Linked DNA regions of Zea mays. The main gene of each other region encodes a partner of the protein of the gene in region 5 in a complex. Links are inferred from orthologs where the notes say so. Each region holds a gene or a part of one and is shown on either strand. Other genes may lie near its edges. The genes, in order: uncharacterized protein LOC100216950, uncharacterized protein LOC100276155, mediator of RNA polymerase II transcription subunit 25, Mediator of RNA polymerase II transcription subunit 23 and Probable mediator of RNA polymerase II transcription subunit 26b.

Evidence for each region.
Region 1: Probable mediator of RNA polymerase II transcription subunit 26b (region 5) and uncharacterized protein LOC100216950 share a complex: the UniProt entries of both Arabidopsis thaliana proteins name them as parts of the mediator complex. The link is inferred for Zea mays from reciprocal best matches to the Arabidopsis thaliana genes AT5G05140 and SFR6.
Region 2: Probable mediator of RNA polymerase II transcription subunit 26b (region 5) and uncharacterized protein LOC100276155 share a complex: the UniProt entries of both Arabidopsis thaliana proteins name them as parts of the mediator complex. The link is inferred for Zea mays from reciprocal best matches to the Arabidopsis thaliana genes AT5G05140 and MED9.
Region 3: Probable mediator of RNA polymerase II transcription subunit 26b (region 5) and mediator of RNA polymerase II transcription subunit 25 share a complex: the UniProt entries of both Arabidopsis thaliana proteins name them as parts of the mediator complex. The link is inferred for Zea mays from reciprocal best matches to the Arabidopsis thaliana genes AT5G05140 and PFT1.
Region 4: Probable mediator of RNA polymerase II transcription subunit 26b (region 5) and Mediator of RNA polymerase II transcription subunit 23 share a complex: the UniProt entries of both Arabidopsis thaliana proteins name them as parts of the mediator complex. The link is inferred for Zea mays from reciprocal best matches to the Arabidopsis thaliana genes AT5G05140 and AT1G23230.

What each region holds. Positions count from the first base shown.
Region 1 is NC_050096.1:232,623,643-232,628,291, forward strand, and holds the start of uncharacterized protein LOC100216950, read right to left. Parts: upstream 2,924-4,649; coding exon 2,888-2,923; intron 2,531-2,887; coding exon 2,356-2,530; intron 2,199-2,355; coding exon 1,675-2,198; intron 1,163-1,674; coding exon 986-1,162; intron 639-985; coding exon 258-638; intron 122-257; coding exon 1-121. UniProt on the Arabidopsis thaliana protein: Component of the Mediator complex, a coactivator involved in the regulated transcription of nearly all RNA polymerase II-dependent genes.
Region 2 is NC_050097.1:1,837,096-1,841,847, forward strand, and holds the start of uncharacterized protein LOC100276155, read right to left. Parts: upstream 3,234-4,752; 5' UTR 3,069-3,233; intron 2,918-3,068; 5' UTR 2,883-2,917; coding exon 2,622-2,882; intron 1,989-2,621; coding exon 1,926-1,988; intron 1,451-1,925; coding exon 1,370-1,450; intron 57-1,369; coding exon 1-56. UniProt on the Arabidopsis thaliana protein: Component of the Mediator complex, a coactivator involved in the regulated transcription of nearly all RNA polymerase II-dependent genes.
Region 3 is NC_050097.1:178,591,597-178,594,379, forward strand, and holds part of mediator of RNA polymerase II transcription subunit 25, read right to left. Parts: intron 1,639-2,783; coding exon 1,585-1,638; intron 1,135-1,584; coding exon 1,106-1,134; intron 854-1,105; coding exon 785-853; intron 695-784; coding exon 610-694; intron 1-609. UniProt on the Arabidopsis thaliana protein: Component of the Mediator complex, a coactivator involved in the regulated transcription of nearly all RNA polymerase II-dependent genes.
Region 4 is NC_050100.1:213,162,922-213,166,467, forward strand, and holds part of Mediator of RNA polymerase II transcription subunit 23, read right to left. Parts: coding exon 3,491-3,546; intron 3,016-3,490; coding exon 2,772-3,015; intron 2,703-2,771; coding exon 1,949-2,702; intron 1,492-1,948; coding exon 1,310-1,491; intron 1-1,309. UniProt on the Arabidopsis thaliana protein: Component of the Mediator complex, a coactivator involved in the regulated transcription of nearly all RNA polymerase II-dependent genes.
Region 5 is NC_050103.1:106,778,799-106,783,433, forward strand, and holds the start of Probable mediator of RNA polymerase II transcription subunit 26b, read left to right. Parts: upstream 1-1,336; 5' UTR 1,337-2,094; coding exon 2,095-2,691; intron 2,692-2,778; coding exon 2,779-2,847; intron 2,848-2,945; coding exon 2,946-3,028; intron 3,029-3,229; coding exon 3,230-3,285; intron 3,286-3,370; coding exon 3,371-3,492; intron 3,493-3,592; coding exon 3,593-3,620; intron 3,621-3,713; coding exon 3,714-4,096; intron 4,097-4,177; coding exon 4,178-4,322; intron 4,323-4,443; coding exon 4,444-4,568; 3' UTR 4,569-4,635. UniProt on the Arabidopsis thaliana protein: Component of the Mediator complex, a coactivator involved in the regulated transcription of nearly all RNA polymerase II-dependent genes.

The DNA.
Region 1 (4,649 bases), on a different chromosome or scaffold from region 5:
AACCCCCACACATTGGGCAAGCATGGCTCCACCGACTGATCCACCAAGCCTCACGTTCATTTGTCTGATTTGGGGCACCAGGATGCGCAAATGCACAAGTTTGCCGCAAACAACGTATGCACTAGAAAGAAGAAACAACAAATTTAGGCATCGAAGTATATTAGGGGAGTAACCAGGATTCTCTAATAAAGAACTCGTCAAGGAACTATGAACCCAGACTTGACAGCAAAAGGTAAAGCGACCATAACCATACTCACCTTGTACCAATCACCATCGAGACCTGTTCTCCACACAGCCGTGACAACATCTCTTCGAGATCCCATGACACCTAGATAACCTCCAAGACCTACAGATGTTTTCAGACCAAATGCAGCATCTCTTTCAGATAACCTACGCTTTCTTGGCCAAAGATCAATCCCAATGGAACTGACAGCATCCACTTCCATGTCAGACAAATGAGAGTTGATGGAACCACTAATTTTTAGACGAGGCATATTGTCCAATGGACCAAAATCATCTGGTTCTGACCAGGGTCCACCAAACATGTTGCGTCTATGCCATTCTTCCGCAGGAGGTTGCAGTTCTAATTCTCGAAGTAGAAGTCCAGCAGCATCAGCTCCTCGTGGACGAGGCATATTCTACAGAGTTACAGACATAGGAAACAATGAAATATTGAAAATAGATGGGGAAGTAGGCATCGAGGGATCACTCAAAATGCCATGTCTAAGGCCCTGGCAGTAATAGTGCATGTTTCTATAAAAAATGGCTAATACAAAAAAGATAACTTCTGCTAAGAGAATCCTAATCAACATTTAAAGGTGGTCGTCCTGAATTCAGTTCGAAACAGGAAGACTTGCAATATCTCTGAGTCGTGCACTTGAAAATCAACTTCTACTCCTATAATTGATAGATGTTGGTAGCTCAAAATGGCCACAAATAGTACGAAAGCGACCATTAGAAACTTCCATGAGAATTTGACTAGTACCTGCATATGGGGACCAAGAGACGCTTCCACTACCTCAGGGAGCACTGTGTAGTTGCCGTCAATGTAGTGCAGCCTTATGATAATGCTACTGGAACCAACCTGAGAGGCAGGCAATGGATGCGGCAAGGTAGATGTCCTTCGACATAGGTCAACCAGTATAAGAAAAAGGACCTTGACCTACCAACAATGAAATAAAATTACAGAGATAATTAGATAAACTAGACAAAAAGAAATCTTCCAAAGAATAGAAAGACAGATCTGTAAAGCATCTGATAAATCACTCAATAGAGATCATGAACGACATATGCAATCAAACTGTTGTTCATGCTAGGCTGGACAAAATTTTAAACTGCTTAAATCAAGGGTCCAAAATAACCTACATACGCAATTGCACTCTATGATGGCTATATCGACATGTGTTCTCCCATAGCAACCAAAGCTAGACATTTCCAAAGAAATGCAGGAGCCAAAACATAGTTGTTTCCAAACTAATCACTATGTTCAGGACTTCAGGTCACCAGTTTTCCAGCGCATTTGGCACATCGTCAGCTTCTTCACACTAACTCCCAAAGTTCAAATGCCAACGATCAGTCCCAGTTTGGTAGCACTAACTCCCAAAGTTTCCTTAGTATAACTCAATATTAAACTCTGTAAAAAATACTATATCTTGTCAAGAATTTGATAATCACCTCATCTGAAGTATAACCTTGCCCAGCGTTGCCAGAACCTATTCTAACAGATTTGCCAATTGGATTTTCTTCAGGACCCTTTGCACCACCAAGAACAAATTGTCCACCACGCGCAGAGTGACCTTCTTCTACTTTGGCAGCCCCTAGACCAGATCTTACTGTCGAACTGTTATCTTCTGTCTTAGCATTCATCATGTGTTGTATTTTCTGCATGGCAGAATCTTGATTTTTTTGCGAACTGGCAAGTAACCTTGGTGATTGCCTTCTTCGGAAAAGCAGACAAAATAGCAGTAATTGACATAATCTATGAAGAAAATGGCAATCCCCAATAAGTCTCACAGCAGGTGTGCCAGGGAAAGTGCCCGTATTAATGCTGATGGGCATAAATGATGTCCTCGTGCTCATTGGATTCTGTGTTGCAGTGGCAGCACCATCAGAATTGTTACTAATCTTAGCAATTGCACCTTGGACCCACTCCTGCATTTGTGAGTTCCCTGTTGCAGATGTTGATCCCCCTTGATTACCTGAAATTTGAAGGAGCATCAAGATGCTAGCAGCACTAAATAAACAACACTTTAAGCCTCAAATTTGCAATGAAGAAAACATAAGGTTTGGATGTACTTTTTTGCGCACAAACAAGAGAAAAACACAAGATTTAGCAAGCTAGCAGGCATAGCTAACCTTGATTATTTGATGGCGAAGGAGAACTGTTTGTTGGACTTGTAACCATATTTCTAGAAGTGCCTGTGGTAGAAGATGGCCCCACATGGCTCGCCAGAGTTCGACAGAAACTCGCATAACGCCGCAAGCGAGTTATGAAATGTGATGCTAAATCAAGAACAGCATCAACGTAACCCTGCATTTGAATGCAAATAAAATAAGCTATTTCCTAGTAACATAAAGAATCCCTATGCAGATAACCTGTGCTGAAATTTATACAATACTCAACATTAAAAGGCTGTAATACACCAGTTTTGGCAAAGGATAACAGACATTGCACATGAGTTCACCAACATAACTAAAGTACCGTTTACATGGAAGTGATCTAGCATACCAATATACTGCTCACTACTTTATAAAATGAAAAAAAACGGCTCAGTAGCAAGTCTTAAAAGAATAAAGTCAGTAAAAAGAAAGAAAGAATGTTAGATAGCTGAATTTAAGTTCCATGGCTATGAAATAGAAACAACTTGCATAAAGGAGACAGCTTGACCTGGATGTTTGGAAGCAGAGCTGGCTCAACAGTCATTTTGTCAGCATCGATGCTGGATAACATATCACTGGAAGCTTGCCAGGGCTCAGGTAGCAGAGTTGATGGATTTGTAAGGGCAGACTCGATTCCTTTGCCTAGCATATCCAGAAGTAATCTTGCTTGCATGTCCAACACAAGTGCCCGTACATCTTGGGCATTTGTTCCTTCCAACAACCTACACTTAATCCTATCAAGGTTCTGCATGTACAATTGTACATTCATTAATCATAAAAGGAAGAAAGGTAGTAAATCAAACATTGAAGCCAAAAAGGTATAAAATATGAAATATCACCCAAAATTCCAACTGTCATATTAACTCATCACAACCCAAAATATCATATGAATCAGCTGTCCAGCCAGTCAATTAATTTAGAGACACCTGCTGAGATGCCAATGATTTTCAACCCAAAGGCAAACAGCCACTGGAAAAGTTTCTAGCATCATTTTGCGGTTAAAATAAAAAAATGCCACTGTTGTAAATGCCCATTAAAATGTACAATTTACACATACTTGTGGCCAGGGGCGGCCCCGGTCCAATAATACTTATATCATATCATAATTTTAGTCCATAAAATCCAACAAAAATAGGTAACAGCCTTCCATCTAACCGTGGCATCTAGCACCCGCACCCGATCTCGTCCACGCAGCCATGTCGCCACAGCACACCAGCACCAAACAGTAGTGCCGCACACACGCGCGCCTGGCCCCCATCCGTGCCATAACACTGCAGTAGTGCCAGTGCCGCATCACAAAGCCTGACGGGCAGCGCACTGTGCACCCACGCCGCCACGCAGGACACGGCCACGGACCAGCGTGCATGGCCGACACACCTGCAGCAGCTAGCAGCGTGTAGGCGCCCAGCAGCCAGCACAAGGTGCAGGCCAGCGCAAGGCGCACGCTGCAGCCAGCACAAGATTTTGAAACGTTTTTAAGGCATAAGAACTCGAAAGATAAATTTACGTTGCAACCGTAATTCATGAGGCTATGGCCAGCAGATCGTGCATATGACCGTGTAAAACATTGTTTTACACTGTAGAATGCACTATTTATAGAGTGGGGTTTGAAATATGAGATGAGGATGAGTAAGCTGATGGAGATATCTTGAGCGGTATATATTGAGTATTGTATTTATAGATTTCGTACCTACTTATTTTGTCTACATGTGTCTTGAAGATTTGAATTATACTTGTTACTTTGTTATATTAAACATTGATATATCATTTAGTTCAGCCTAAAAAAACTAACCTTCTTTTAGCAGCCCCTCCTTTGATCCATTCCTGGATCCACCACTGCCTGTGGCAGCAGAACATTAACAGTTCTATATTTGAAGAAAACAGTATATTGATCTGTGTTATGCTATAATTCACTTTAAAATCCAAAGCTATGCCAGTAGATAGACATGAATGTATATTTGGTTATAGCAATATCAAAATGAACCATATTCACTGAAAGCGTATGAACACCATCCACACTGTAGTCTAATACCAGTGGGACAAAAATATGGTTTTGCAAGCTTATTAGTTACAGATAATAGTGATGCATACAAATATAATAATATTTTTTTGCTATAAAAAGACTCATACAGTGGGTACAGATCTTTTAATAGTTGTTAAATATAAATATTATAATAAGATTTATGACCACTCTCATAAGTAGGAAATAGTGAGAGAGAAAAAAGAAATAGCAGGGCATGGAACAATGCACTCTAATGTGTTCTGCTAGT
Region 2 (4,752 bases), on a different chromosome or scaffold from region 5:
CTTTGATCAAGCAGCTGCCGTGTTTCGTCCAAACTCTGCCTTTGTCCCTCAACCGTCTGTTGGTAACAAATACAGCAATTACCATGAGTACTGAAACTTCAAGCATCAATAACTGGTTCTGGTTCTTACATGTTTAAGACAGGACTACAATTACGTTGCAACTCAACATACATCTAGTTTTTGGGTGAGATTCATAATGCATATGCACATTTGTTACATATAATGCATTAATCCAAAACAAATTACAAAAGAAAAGGTCAACACATTAATACACATTGTTGACTAACTTATTTAAAATGGTCATCAACAGCAATCATGCTATAAAAACATGTTTCCAATATTTAATGTATTGCAGCTGGTACTGGGTAAACCAGGCAATCACCAATGGTGCTGATCGAGCAATATTCCACCAATTTCTTTGAAATTCACAAAATAACCAGCACCATACAACATATAAAATTAGCAATATTAGGTCTATTAAAATGGTTCTAAATATTGTAGATCGTAATGACAGCACTGACACCGGTATCAACTGGAAAACTAGGGCTTTTTAAGGAAGGCAGCTCATGCCGGTCTCCACTAAACCGACAGTCCCTACTGGCTAGTAACATCAGTTATTACGTACTAGTAACCCAGCAGTAAAAACTGCCAAAACTAGCCAAACTTTAGACACTCTTAACAACTAATAATTGTGAATTAGAAAACAAAACAATGGCTCAGTAAGTCAGTGGTAAGGCACTAAGGCCGCTCGGTGCGACCGTGCGAGCGCTACTACCCGAGTTTGATCCCTGACTGGGGCGACTCAGGTGTCACACGGGATTTTCATCAGAGGGGACTAAGCCTCTATGTGTGTGAGTTGCTCAGTAGGCACGTTCCAAGACTGCTTGGGCAGCCTCATCCGTGTTTGAGCATGAGGACAACATGTGTGCACCGTGCACATTTGAGTTCTTATATGATATGCTAGTGCTTCTGGCAACAACAAAGCCTTTTAGCTCCAATCAAGTTGGGGCAGTCCCAAAGAAAGCCTTTTAGTCCCATGCCTTCTATATAATATGGCAATGCTCCTGTTGATGTTTAAATAAATGTGAATTAACTTTTTAAAAGGATTTGCCTAGAGACATGAATATTTATAGACATTTTATGAGACAACACAAAAACCTGCAACAGATCTACTATACCCCGTCTTATTATCCATTTCTGGAAAAAATTCTTAATTCTTGTGCAATTGAAAATTTTATTGGATACCAAAACAAAGTAATTGAGATTCATTAGCCAGAATAGTTCAATTTAACTTAGTAATTATTATCAAATTCAGAAGACCACTAAGAATAAAGCATATGAGTCAGGAAAGAGAAGTAACAGAACTTACAGTAGACTTTGAGCTTATTGTTCCCGATATGGAGTTCAACAATTGTTGGCACCTAGCAAACTGGCTGGTCAATTCTTCAACCTAGATATATATAAAAAGCTTCTCTTAATACAGTAGCTATTGGAATTAGGATTTAGCAAAACGCTGGGAAAAATATGGTGTTTAGCTGGTATTCTATAAGAAATCAGCATGGAAGTACACAATACATAGTAGTAATTTTAACATGCTTCTGCAATTGCATAATTGCATAACTAAGGGTATGTCTTCCACTGGCTTGGTTTTGGCTATGGAAAACTGAACCGTGCAGACCCTGTCACCCTGGGCTGGTCCCAAGCTTCCTGTGCACCACCAACACTAGAGCATTGTTTGTGACCTGTCTCTTCTCTGGGAAGTGATTTAAGAATTACATCACATGTCAATTCAAACTCTGTATAAGAATATTCAGGCTCCACGCCTAGAAGAAGCTACAACTATTGTTTCTGACAAGATCATGCACTATGAGTACAAGAACATTGATCCATAAAACAAATGAAAATTAGTAAATGGTGATTCTTACCAGTGCATCGAAATTTTGGTCCCTTGTTCCTGTACCAATAGCATCGGCTAATCTTGTAACCAACTAACAGAGAACAAAATTATGCAAAGAAGAAAACTATCAGTATTTCACAATACATTCTAGTACTTTCTCAAAGAGTAAAAGGAAGAAGAGCCATCATAAAAGTGGAAACAAAGATTTGCTACTTGCAAAAAAGCCATTGGAAATAAGCCTAAATGTTAGATGCCAATACAGACATGTGATTGCCAGCTTAAGAAAACCTACAATACCTAAAGTGCCCTCATATATATTTTTAATTTATGTATTTCTTGTCAAACCAACTCGAGTGATTAGAATCAACATTTTCTCTGGCCATTACCAATGTTGCACGCTCTGACGCTTGTATATCGTTCATGTACACCTATAATATGGCAATCTTCACTACCGGCCAAAGTGACAAATCATGGTGTGAAGAAATTGCAATCGCTGAGCAACAAATACAGGACAAATTAATGACAATCTTTAATGACTAGCAAAATCCCAAGTTCAGAATTTTGAAATTCCGGTGCACAAAGGGCACACTCCAACAACATCAATGACATCACTACAAAAAGAAGGGTTCATTTGAGGGTATGTATCATCTATGCTATCTTAAACTAAGAGCAAAGGCCCCCAAAACACAAAACTCCACACAACTCCAAACACTCCGTTACTTACATGTAGGAGGTGGAAGTGGGAGGCAAGAGAGGCGTGGTGATGCTGCTGCGGCTGCGGTGGAGACATCAGTGTCTGCTGCGGCTGTGGAGACATCAGTGCTGGCTGTGGCTGCGGTGGAGACATAAGCGCCGGCTGTTGCTGCGGCTGCGGCTGATGGTACTGAAGAGCGTGGAGGTGGTGGTCGGGCTGCGGGGACGTCATGAGCCCACGGTAAGGATCGCCGTACTGCTGCTGCTGCTGCTGCGGGTGGTGGTGATCCATCTCTATCCCCAGTTCCCAACACCTGCGGGCAGGGGCTATTGGAAAAATCGAAGTTATTAGTAATTTAGTAGGCATAATAATACATGCATATACTTGCAATTACTCCTGAATCAGATCCGATTCTTAAGCTAGGTTTTGAGTGCTCGGTTTCGCAAAGCAGATAGGGGAGAGGAGGGACGGGCATACCTAGTGGGTGCTCGTCGCCGGTGAAATGGGCACGACGAAGGTCTGGGCACCGGCACCTGACGGCGGCGGCGGTAGCCTAGTGCTCGCCGGGAAATAGGGACCACGCGGGGCGTGAACTGTGAACGGCGGCCAGTCCGGTACTGTTTGGCCGACGGGGGCGCTAATCTCGGAGTACGGTGGCTGTGTCCAGCTGATATGGCCGTCTAAAGAACTGTTGTTGTACGATAGTCATACCTTTGTTTGTAGCGTTGGAGTTGAAATAGTGGATAGATATTAGATACGAGAGGAGATAGATAGTGTTTTTTAACCTTATTCATCTATAGATGGCTAAATAGATTGTCTGTCCAGCATTAATGGTGTTATTAGACACTATTAGTAAATGTGTCGTGATGTGTTAGTACTATTGTCTAGACACGGCACTATAGTGTCTAATCATGTCATGCCGACACTAACATCTAGTAGGGTTCGTGTTAGCCCACTTTAAAAGCTCAAAATATATAGATGATTTTTAAGGTTATATATAATTTTAAAACTTGAATATGTGTACTATTATAAAGTGGGTTGACTCTTCTGAGGCTCCCTTTTGGTAGGATTTTTGCATCACCGGCTTTCCTTCTGGCTCATCTGAAAAAAATAGTTTGATCCTTATTTTTAGTAACCCTTGGAGAACACTCTATTTAGTTAAAACACAACTACTCCTATTTTCATGGGAGGGTGAGTGACAAGAGAGAGTCGAGTCAGAGAAGCCTCCTTTTTAGGCTCTGGGCTTTCCTCGGTTTTTAGGGACATCTCCTTCCTATTTTTATGGAGAAGCCACGAGAGGAGCCCACCATTTGGTAGCCTTTTTGAAGAAGCTGTTGAGGGGCCATTAAAAGAGCTCTACCAAATAGAACTCTACTATGTAAATTGTCATGTACCTAGGAACAGGGTAACCAAAAGTAAGCCCACAACCTCCTTCCGGCCCATTAGCCGACCAACCCTCTGCCAAGCAAGCCTACGAGGCGGAGCGGACGACCAAGTCCTCCGTCGAGCAAGTTTGCAAGATGGAGCGAACGACCAATTCCTCGTCGAGAGGCAGAGCGGCTGACCAACTCATCGACGAGCAACCTCGCAAAGCAGAGCAGCCGACCAACTCCCCACTGAGCAACCCTTTGAGGAGGAGCGGTCGACCAACTCCAAATTGGGCAACCATACGAGGCGGAGGTCCCAACCTAACGCTATTAACCCGTGATGGCTACGACAAGACGCGTCATCATCAACCCACGTCCGGACATATGTGCAACGTACCGAAGGGGCGCCAGGAGGTCACTATCGACACGACTGAACGCCACCACGTACGCTCTAAGGCGTATCCCCACTGCCATGTGGGGTCAGTCAACCCAGTCATAGAAAAAACCTCAGCACTGGAGCCTCTACAGTGACCCGTATACCGGGGAAGGCAGCACAATGCGCCATACAAAGTATATGCCTACACACACTAGGTGACGCGTGATCGTTATGAGGGCAAAATTCTTACATGAGGGCAAGTTTACATGAGGGCAAAATTCTGCAATTGGTATCAATTGACAAAATTCTTTATGAGGGCAAGTATTATTTACTTCCTACATGCTTTTAATATCTTCTTTTTTCGGTGGTTGATACCAAAGGGGGAGAAGTTTAGGGACCAAAGCAATGAACAATGTAT
Region 3 (2,783 bases), on a different chromosome or scaffold from region 5:
GTATGAAACGACAGTAGATGAACCGCAGCAAAATAACAAAATTACTGGTTAGTTGTCCGTGCGTTGCTACGGTTTTTATATATCATAAAGATAAATCTTATTTAAATAAGATATTTATTCAAACACGGTCTAAACCGGATGTGTGGTGAGATGAGATGAAGTTTTTTCTCTCGCTTTTTTCCACGCTCACGAGATCAGAGATAGTGAGAAAGAAGGTATTGTACTATAGATAGCCAAATAGGTCGTGTCTAGCAGACTGACCCAAGGCACGGCCCATTTAACAGTACCGCGGCCCGACCTGAGAACCATGTCGTGCCTGAGCCACCGTCTCAGTCTATAGTGCCGGCCCGGTCCGACGTGGCATGATTATATTTTTTTAAATTTAAATGTATTAGTATGTATATATATTTACAATATTTATCCTCTGTGTAACACAATATTTAGAATATCTATAGAAGAGGGCCACGGTTCGAGCGCTAGTATGCTCTCTTTTTTCTTATTTTTTTTCCCGTGGGAGAGCGCTGCGCCGCGCTGAGGGAGACCCAATGCACAACGATTTTCCCACTTAAATACAGTAGAGACTAAAAAGAAATAGACTCAGGCACTGACCAGCTTCTTCTCTTGTAGTTGTACAAGAAACCCATGGTGATTTAAAGTCCGAAAAACTAGAAAGTCTGCCTTGCCAACATATTGTCTGCAGAATAACCAAGTAAATATGTCATTCACAGCACATTTACAAGAAAATGATGCAACAAGTTGGCATTGAAAAGAATGAGTAACAAACTTGTTGTTCATATGCTCCTGGGCTATGAGGCGAACAATCTGCATTGTTTCTGGCCAGTCCGCTGCAAGTCTGCATGCAGAAAGTACGGCTTTCAGTTTCCTACTAAGTCTAGATGCATAATTCGAAAGTACCACAAAAAGGTTCCATTGTTAAACATACCCAATGAAAATTTCTAGTATCATTTCTTTCAAGACAAGGACAACGACAACATAACATCAACTAACAAGAAATACTTACCTCAATCATAGTAATCAACAGAAAACACTGTATAACAGAGATTCAAGAAAATGTAAGGTTTATTGCAAAAAATCAGACACTTACGTTTCAGACGCTGTTCCACTCCTATAACCCTGTCAGACATTGTTAAAGTGAGAAATGTCAAAACAAAAAAGCGAAAGAGCTGCACAAGTAAGACTCCAGCTTTGAAGGTGATAACAAACTATGGCTCAAAATGGGCATCCGCAGCAATTGATACAGTCCATTTCTAAAGGGGTTAAATTCTCTCTACCTGAAGTTTAAAAAAACACGATTACAACTTCAGAAGTTTATTCAAAACTAGTTTATTTCCAGTCTTAGCAAAAAGATGGGTCAAAGATATCACAAAACTTAGTTGAACGAGCATAGAAGTGTTGTTCATACAGATCTACAAAGAGCATAGAAGTGTCATCATATCTCAGGAACTCAGGAACCATTATTTCTGCTAAGTAATGCTGCAGAACAAAAAACTACTAGAAACTTTTATAATTTCTTACAATATACTATATTTTTTTGGAGACCAATAATGCAAAACAAAGACTTACTTCGAGTTTACAAATTATTACAGGCTGTCCTTGCCTTTGGCCAGATAAAGTTCCCTGAAATACAGATAAATGGCAAACATCATGTCAGGGTCTAAGGAGGCCCACGGAGGAGCTGCGGCAGCAGCAACCATGGGCCCTCCAAGGGGATTAGATAAGAATAGTTAGAGATAATATTAGAAGATTAGTTGAGATTATTTAGGAGATTAGTTGAAAAGCAGGAGGGGTGTCGATGGGCAGGAACGTCGGCCGGGGGCGTCTACCCACGGCCGAGCAAGAAGAGGGTTTCTCCCTTCTAATTCTTGTCTGCTTTATTTCTCATCCATTGATTACATAAATAGACCGGCTGGCCGCCCCTATCTAGCTAGAGATCCTTATCTCCTTAAAACTCTCCTAAAAACTCTCAACAAACTACTAACTAATAACCTTCCTAGATAATCTCAACTAATCTCCTAAATAATCTCAACTAATCTTCTAATATTATCTCTAACTATCCTTATATAATCCCCTTGGAGGGCCCATGGTTGCTGCTGTCGCAGCCCCTCCGTGGGCCTCCTTAGACCCTGACACATCAGTTGTTGAAAATCTCTGGCCAACAAACAAGATTGTATGCAACATAACTCCCAATTTTTGCACTACAGTATCATAGCCACAGCAGGGCCTAAGGCTCCAATTAGCAGTGTTATCAAGTCATCCAGTTAATCGTGATTAGTCGTCCTAGTTGGTATCCTGGACTCGACTAGGGGCTACAACTCGATTAGGCTGATTAGTTTTCTGGTCGTCTGATTAGTTAGACAACTAGGAGGTGGATAACTGGAATTGATGAGCAACTTAGGACATGGGTTGCATCTAGGATGGCTTGCTCGTGTTTTCCTGTCCAATTTGAAACCCTGCGTGCAGCTATCACCCTAGAGTTATCTTCATGCTTGATTTGTACTCTCGAACATATAGTATATAAGTATATATTTGGTATATTAATCCTGATATATATATAGGATAGGATGAATAGGGGACAACTATGGCCAACTAGTCGCCTTGATCGACAACTAATTGCGACTACTCGCCCTGGTCGACGACTAATCGCGACAACTCACCTAGTCAGCCCCATGGCGGCTAGGATCGGCTAGACGACTTGCTAACATTGCCTATTAGTCATCTTCTCTGCACCGTGCTTACCATTTATTTCAAGCAACTCATTTCTA
Region 4 (3,546 bases), on a different chromosome or scaffold from region 5:
GCGTAAAGGCTTTCCTTACTCATCCTAGTCTCCTGGGAGTTATGGAAACACAGAAATGTTGTTGTTTTTGAAGGAGTACGGGCTGGTGTTCAGGCTGTCCTTCGGTTGGTAGCTGAGGAGGGTCACTTGTGGTGTTTAGCTGGGGCTAATGATCTCCAGGAAACCCTCCAAAGATCCTTTCGCTTGGCACCATAGTTTTTGGCCAGGTGGAGTTCGCCTAGGAGGCTTTAGCCTCTTGTAATTCTTTCTTTCTTAATCAAATGACATGTGGTTCTCCTGCGTAGTCCGAAAAAAAAATCATTCTCCATATCAAAGGCCATGACATCATCAGTAGTAGTGGCAGAGTTAGTGCTCCTTAAGCAGAAGAGGTAGGCAAACGATTGCTTTGATAGACTAAATCTTGTATTTATCTTAAGAGTAGGTGCATATGTCAGCACCTTACATTCTTAGCTCCCTTTAGCACCTACATTAGCATAATAGCATCTACTTTAGCATATATATCTGCATATGCTGAAATCTCTTAGTTTTCAAGTTTGCTTCGCTACTTCTATATATACCTAAACCTGCTATGTTTTTGCGTAATGGCTTAAATGAAATATAAAATCTTGTCCCAAAACCTGTGTCTATCCCTAGCATGCTTTGCCAATAAGCAGCCGGTCAAGAATGAGGTATGGATCCAACTGTTGTGACATGTGGTGTTGTGAGGTGGAGTAGATAGGGTCTATTTGGACCTAAGTGGCACACTAAGTTTAGGGACCAAGATAACAAGCCGAGACAAGCCTCTGAACCTAAAAATAACATTTTAAAAAACTGGGACCTCGACGTCACACAAAGACAGGCTTGAGGACTTAAAAATGCATTTTCGGAGTTTGGGACTTGAATGACACCCTGGAAAATATATGTAAATTCTGACAAAAAATGCTGGAATGATGCTAAATGATGAACATAAACTTGCAGCAGTTATTGAGGTTGCATTGCAGGTACAGCATATGCTGATCCAATTCGAAGTGACTAACACCTTGCCATACAAAGCTGTTGACTTTAAATTTAGACCACTTACAAGCTCATAACGTAAATCTAAAGTAAAACTGAGACTAGCTCAGATAGTCAAGGACAGTGGATGTATCTCTGGGGCTCTGGGCCACACAAGTTCAAGTCCTCATCAAGGCAAATTTCGGTGCATATTCTTTAATTATTAAATTAAAAACACCTTGTTCCTTCAAGGTTGGTTGAGCATTTAATTTAAAGGAAAAATATACCACATATTTCTAATTTTGGAGTAACTGCAAAGAGAAAACCGAGTATATACCTTCATGAACAAAGGTCGAGCAAAGGCTAGACGAGGTAACAAGGGACCCAATATGCGGAAGGCGATTCTTAACATGGCAACTGAATTGACTGGCCGAAGGTGTTTGATGACAGTATGAGTAGATTCCAGCCACTCTTGTGGAAGATTGCTAAAAAAGGAATGCAGAAGGGCAACAATGTTACCTGCAACCAAAGCACAAACGACATAAGACATAATTGAGGCACTAGCATATTAAGTTAGAGTGCAGATTTTGCGCCATTGATAGCTAAAACACCAAACTGCAATGTTCCAAAAGTCAACATAAAAATCATGTATGTAATACACATAAAGTATAGCCACAACAATTCAGTTTGAAATTCATCCTAGATGCCAAGAAATAAAATAGACAAGCAGTCAACCTGACACTGTTCACCATGTGTTGATAGTGACACTTCTATTTTTTTAATCTCAACATCAAAGATGAATTTCAAACTGATTTATTGCGGCTACACTTAACTTTAGGTCTACTACATACATGATTTTTGTGATTATTTTGAAACATTGCAATATGGTATTTTAGCTAACAAGGACGCAATATAATTTTCCATTAAGTTAACTCTGATCTGATCCAGCTCATAAGACTAAAGAAAAATGTTCTACCAATGGCTGTTGATGTATTGTCTTGGGAAGCCCATGTAGGATCCAACAGTGCATATCCAACAGCAGAGTCAAGCTCTTTAACAGGCCTGGAACCATCAGCAAGCCACCAGCAGTCTTTTATGACTCGAGCTGCTTCTGAGTATAGTTGCATGTGGAATTCTGGTGGGAGTTGTGCCAGCAGAAGACCACATGCTTGAATCATCAAAACAGACAATTGTTGGCAGGAGTAACCACTCCTAGAAACAAAGTTAGTGGCATTGATGCCAGTTGCAGCACTGTTCGCTTGGTTGGGACCTGAGGATTCAGCAGCCCCTGAAGGAGAAGTTGGCAGCCCAGAACTTTGCCCCAAACCACCTGACATTCCTTGGCCACTATTTGACTGTATAAGTATTGCTTGTACATGTGCTATTATTTGGACCAAAGAGGACACTATTTGAGCAGCAGGCACAGGAAGTGAGAGAATCTCAATAGCTGCTGTTTCCAAAACAAGCTGTGTATACGACCCAGGATCCTGATTCTGATAAAATGCCCTCTGGCCATCGGTGTTACCAACTCCACCAGGTTGTGAAGATGCATGATGTTTGTTGAAAGTCGAGCGTGTTGTGTCTGCTGGGTTTGATTTCGATTTGCTACTTAAAGGAGGTATAACATTATTAACGAGGTTTAGCAACAGGTTGGCAAAGTATTCTGGTGGTGGACATATTGAAGAATTTGATGACACTAAATATTTAGCAAAAGATTCTGAAAAGGGGGTCTGGAAAAAGCTCATAGTTAGCAAGTGTTAGGCACAAAGTGTTACAACTAAAAAAGTAAATAGGTTTACCTTAGTGCTAACACCCAGCAGGTTGAGGATCCTACCAATTAGTTTGATTGGAAGATGACCATAGAAATACGCAAGAATATCACGTACAAATGTAAATCTTAGCGGGTGGAAGGCAAGCAAGGAAGAATAGAATGCAAGAACTCTGTCTGCAATGTCAGTTGCATCATTCTCAATAAGCCTATAAATAATCAGTGGAATAACAGGAAGCAGACGTGCAGCAATGTCATCGAAGAAGGGTGGATAGCTGCATCAACAAAACTAGAGGACATCAAGATTCTATTACCACCATTGAAAACAAAACAATATGTATCTCAGAAGAAAACCTCACTTTCTGTTTGGTAAGTTGACAGCCAATAGTAGCTTTATAGTTTTGGAATAGGTGCAGCATATATTACAATAATTAGTTTAAAGCTGGGTATAAATGGACAAACAAGCACTGACCACAGATAAAATAATCCTAATATGAAACCATATTGGCCAAAAACATGACCAGAACATCCAAAATATCAAATTGATCAGACAACCAAATTAATCTAACTATGCCATAAATAGATTAAATTGCTATTCAAAAGAACACAGCTTTTTTTAATGGAAACTGTTTATTATATGGGTGCCATGTAACACAAATATCAAACATGAGATATGTAATTGTATAATTACTTAATGTCATTGACTTAATAAAATTTTCAGTAAGTAATATACTAAATGGTTCCAATTACCGGTCCTTCCATGAAAGATGGCTGCCAAGAGCTTTCTGGAGCTCAGCTCTTTTTGG
Region 5 (4,635 bases):
ACGAAGCCAGCATATGGTTGCTAGTGAAAAGGACACACGACTGGCCCTTCGGCTACCCCAGCAGCCACTCCAAAATGGAACACCCGCGTAAGTCATACTACTGTAGAAAATTTAAAAAAAATGAAAATAAAAAAAAGAACCTCGAAACAACCCTAGCCAGCCACTGTCCCACACTACTGGTGGGAGACGCTAGATGCGCACGCAGTGCACAGGGGACAAAATACAGAGACGGAATTCCTTCTCAACAAAAAGCATGAAACACATGCCACTTTTGAAATGGGAGTATCTATGCGCGGCGTGGGAATAAGCCAGGATGCTCGGATCAAGATGCTAACACTGCAAAAACAGACGATGCATTTCTTTCGCTGTTTATTATAGTTTCATCAGATTGTTTGGTGTAAGATTTTGATGGCTATAGTATTTTTTTTTCTTTTCCCGAGATTTCCGGAGAGGATTTTTTTCTTCTTTTTCTTTCCATCTCTCTCGCTCTTTTCGTTCAATCTTACTTATTATACCGTCACCCATTCTTATCGTTCTTGTTTTTTTGCGACCATGGGTTATCATCTCATGTATTGCGAAACCTATAGTATAGCATTCGACTCCTCATCTCATGTATTGCAAAGCATCGCGGACCTCTTGTGTCTTACGATTTTGCCACCTTGAGAGCCTGCTCTGTACTAGGTGCAGCGCGTCGCACGACTGTGTTAAAAAACTCGTCTTCCGTCTTTTTTTAAAAAACAAATGCACAACAGTTGCCTACAACGACAAGCATTTTTTTTCAAAAGTTATATTCATGTCTCGTCAGTTGTTTCATATAGAATTACGTCTTTATTGTCTCATTCAACCTATCAACTAGAACAAGTACCACGCACCAAGCTGTATTAAATTCACTACAATAAATTTTTTATTTAACACACATTGTACATGTTCCGACTTTATATGGATTTTTTAAAAAAATTAATGATTAAACATTGAAATACGACATGAAGAAAACAGAATAAAAATATATGATAAAGCTTGTGAGGGCATCCCATCCATTTGACATGACACGCTGTGTGCAGTGCTGAAAATACTTGTGCTCGGTAGTCGGTACGCAAATGACTTTGCAATTATGGCCCGAGAGAGATATGCTTTACCAAATAGTAAATAGTTCAGATTATACGCAACTAAACAATAATCATGATGGAAAACCACCCTGTGACTTTGTGAGTGAGCATCATCAACCTAGCAGCACTGCTCCTCAACACAGAGAGAGAGAGAAGGAAAGAGACCGGAAAGGGCGCCCCCCGACGCCCGAGTCGACCGCAACAAGAATCAGCCACGCCGCGTCTCACCCATCTCCCGTAGCATTTCCGCCATCTCCTGCGGGTTGAGTACGGCCGAGTCCTGCTGCCCTTCGCTCGCTTCTTCTGGTAAATTGCAGTTTGTTACCGCAATTGCAGCTGCTAGTGGTGGCGAGGCATGGGCCATGGGAGAAAGACTAGTTGTTGCTGGTGTTTGGTAGTAGTAGCCGCGTAGGTCTCGTGGGTGTGCGCACCCTGCCTTCCCCGTCCCTATCCGCCCGTCTCATCGTCATCCCCTTCCTGTCTTCAACTTCACCTTCCCTGTGTTTCCTCCCCGCTTCCTTCCGCTCTAGGGGTCAGCCAGGCAGTCCAGATAAGATTTGCTCTGGTTAGGCTACCTCCGCGCCGCGCTGGAACTCCCTCCCGGTGAGGTTGTTGAAACCGACAAGGAACGGGGACGTGGGGCCCGAGGAAGGTCACGCTGCTAGTTTTTTTCCTTCGCGATCGATCCCTTCCGCCTCCGGATTCGCCCTGCTCTTGTTCCTCCGCTGTTTTCTCGATCGGTTGGCTGGTGACTCTGCCCCTGCCCCTGCCCCTGCCCCGGCCCCGATTCGGGGGAATCTGATTCGCCGTTGGGCGGGCGGGAGAGATTGGGTTCTTGGTTCTGGTGCCGGTGCGCGCGGCGTAATTTGGTAGCAGATAGAAGCAGGAAGGGGGAGCATCGGCCCTTGGCTGCGCTGCTGAGAATCGCGGTCGGGGGAGGCTGATCTTGGCGACGGTGGCCCGGCGGGGACCGGTGGCGGCCGCGGCGATGGCCGACGGGCTGGATCGGTGGCGCGGCTTCTTCCGTGGCGCCGGCGCTGGCATCTGCGACGTCATCGAGAACGCCATCCTCGTGGCGGCGGCCGACGCGCCGCGGGACTTCCTGCACCGCCGCGACCGCATCGCTGAGAGGCTCTTCACCGCGCTCCGCCGCGACGCGGCGCCGCCGTCCTTCGGCAGCGCCGCGGCGTCCACCACCCCGGCCACTCCCGTTGAGGAGGACAAGGGCAGCGTGCGCCGCGTCGCCGAGAAGGAGTGCAAGGTCGACAGCAGCAGCAACGGTACCCACGGCGGCGGCGGCCATGGCCATGGCCACGCCGATGAGGACGATGATTCTGACTCTGACGACGAGCGCCTCCGCCGCGCCGCAGCGAGCAACTATGGCCACAACTACGATGATGATGACGAAGATGGCGACCAACAGGAGGAAGATGAGCAGCAGCATGCCGCGGATGATACTGAAGAAGGGGAGGAAGACCACGACGCTGAGGAGCTCGAGGCGCTCACCAATGAGATCGATGAGGAGTCACAGATCGTCGGCGAGGTCCTCCGCATCAAGGAACTCCTCCTGCACAAGGAAGACCATGTACTGGCAGACTGCCTCGTTTCTTCATTTATTTATAAGGTCCTTAAACTTCGAATTCCTCTGAGCTAAATCATGTTGTTCCTGCAGTCGGATGCCACTTTGTTCGATTCACTGAGGAGGCTGCAGTTGATGCAATTGTCCGTCTCTACGCTAAAGGTACAAAATGGATATTGCGTACATATGAGCTATTTGATGTGTTGATCCCTGTTTGCTCTGGCTGTTTGGTTTCTTAATCTTAGGACTGTTCATTGCAGGCTACTGAGATTGGAAGAGCTGTTAATCGGCTGCGGAAACACAACTCACGAGAGATTCGGCACCTCGTGTGCACTCTCATTGAGTAAGTTCCATCTTCATTTCTGTCAATTTTGGTCCCTAGTGCTACTTCTCTGTTGCTTTCAAAGTGCTTAATAGCAGACCAAAATCACTGATCAAATATCAACCAACCAATTGTAGATTAGCTACATAATCATTGGAAGTGCCTTCTTGCTAGCGTTCTTGGAAATGTTGTTGACATATGAGGTTACCTTGTGTGTTTCAGAGGTTGGAAAGTTTTGGTTGATGAATGGGTCAGTACCACAAATGCTGCCCTGACAGGTAACTGAATTGAATTGATCTAACAGTTTCTAAATGAAGACTGGCATCTTAGCTTAATATGGATATTTGTTCTTTGGTGCTGTAGAGAACTCCCCTGGCTCTTCAAATCCTTCTGTTGTGGATGAAGAAGAGGAAGGGCTTCCATCTCCACCTTTGGACGAAGGGGCCTTCTTTGCCACCCAAACCACTTCTATTCAACTCTCTGAGGTACTGATATAGTTAATTCCTGCCATCTGATTGGGATTTGTGTTTAACAACAATCTGACTCTGTGTCTGTTGTTTTTCCTCCCATCTCCCCAACCTAAAGTTCTTTGACGAAATGGATGAAGATGGAAGTGAGTACAGCAATTTAGCAGTTCTTAATTTTCCATGCTTATTGCTTGGTTTTAACATTATGATGATTATTAACGTTGCGCATACGGTGCCAGATTTGAGACATAGTAATGACCCGAGCCTTGGAAACAAGAGGGGTAACAATGGTGGGAGACTTGCAAGCCATTCAACGGTTGCAAGGCAAGATCCACCTCGCTCTTATCCTGGAGTCGTCGAAAGAGTTCAACCCAGGAGGCTAGAACTGGCAAGGCAAGAGCCACCAATGAGGCAAGCGAACCCACAAACCCTCCAAAGTTCAAGTTTGCAAGCCAAACCTCACGGTGCGCTCAACAAGCAGTCTAATAATCCCTCAAGTTATGAATCTGGACCGGGGAGACCAGTAAAGGCAGCTCAACAGAGACCATTTGGTGACATGAAACCTAAACAAACTCGAGAGCATGTTGCTATCGAGAGAAAGCCTATGGCAAGCCAGACAGATGTAAGTACACGCAACTAAGGCACATGTTTTTGACGATGGTTAAGACCTCATGACTCACATTATCTGTTCTCCTTGCTGTAGAAATCAAGGCCCGGCGCTCGACCTTCGGCAGGAGCCAAGCTAGAGTTGGCAAAGCCAAAGGTTTACGATGATGGTCTGGATAACAACAGGAAGCTGGAAGCAGCGAAGCGGAGGCTCCAGGAGCGGTACCAGGAAGCGGAGAATGGTTCGTGGTCTCTATTTTAACACTCACCAGAGTATTATCCTTATCTGTCTGTCACTAGTAGTAGGTCTCTACCGTTTCGGTTCGGTTTTTATTGAACCGTTCCACGCCTCTGTCTGTGCAGCGAAAAGGCAACGCACGATTCAGGTAATGGAGCTGGGTGACATACCGAAGCCCAAGAATCAAAACAGACAACCGGTGGTGAAGTCCAGGAATAGCCTTAGGAATTGGGCGAACGGGCGGCGCTAACTCCTCTGTGACCTTTTTTTTTTTTGTTTACCTCACCTGATGAATTGTTGCCATGCCTGGCCTTGTC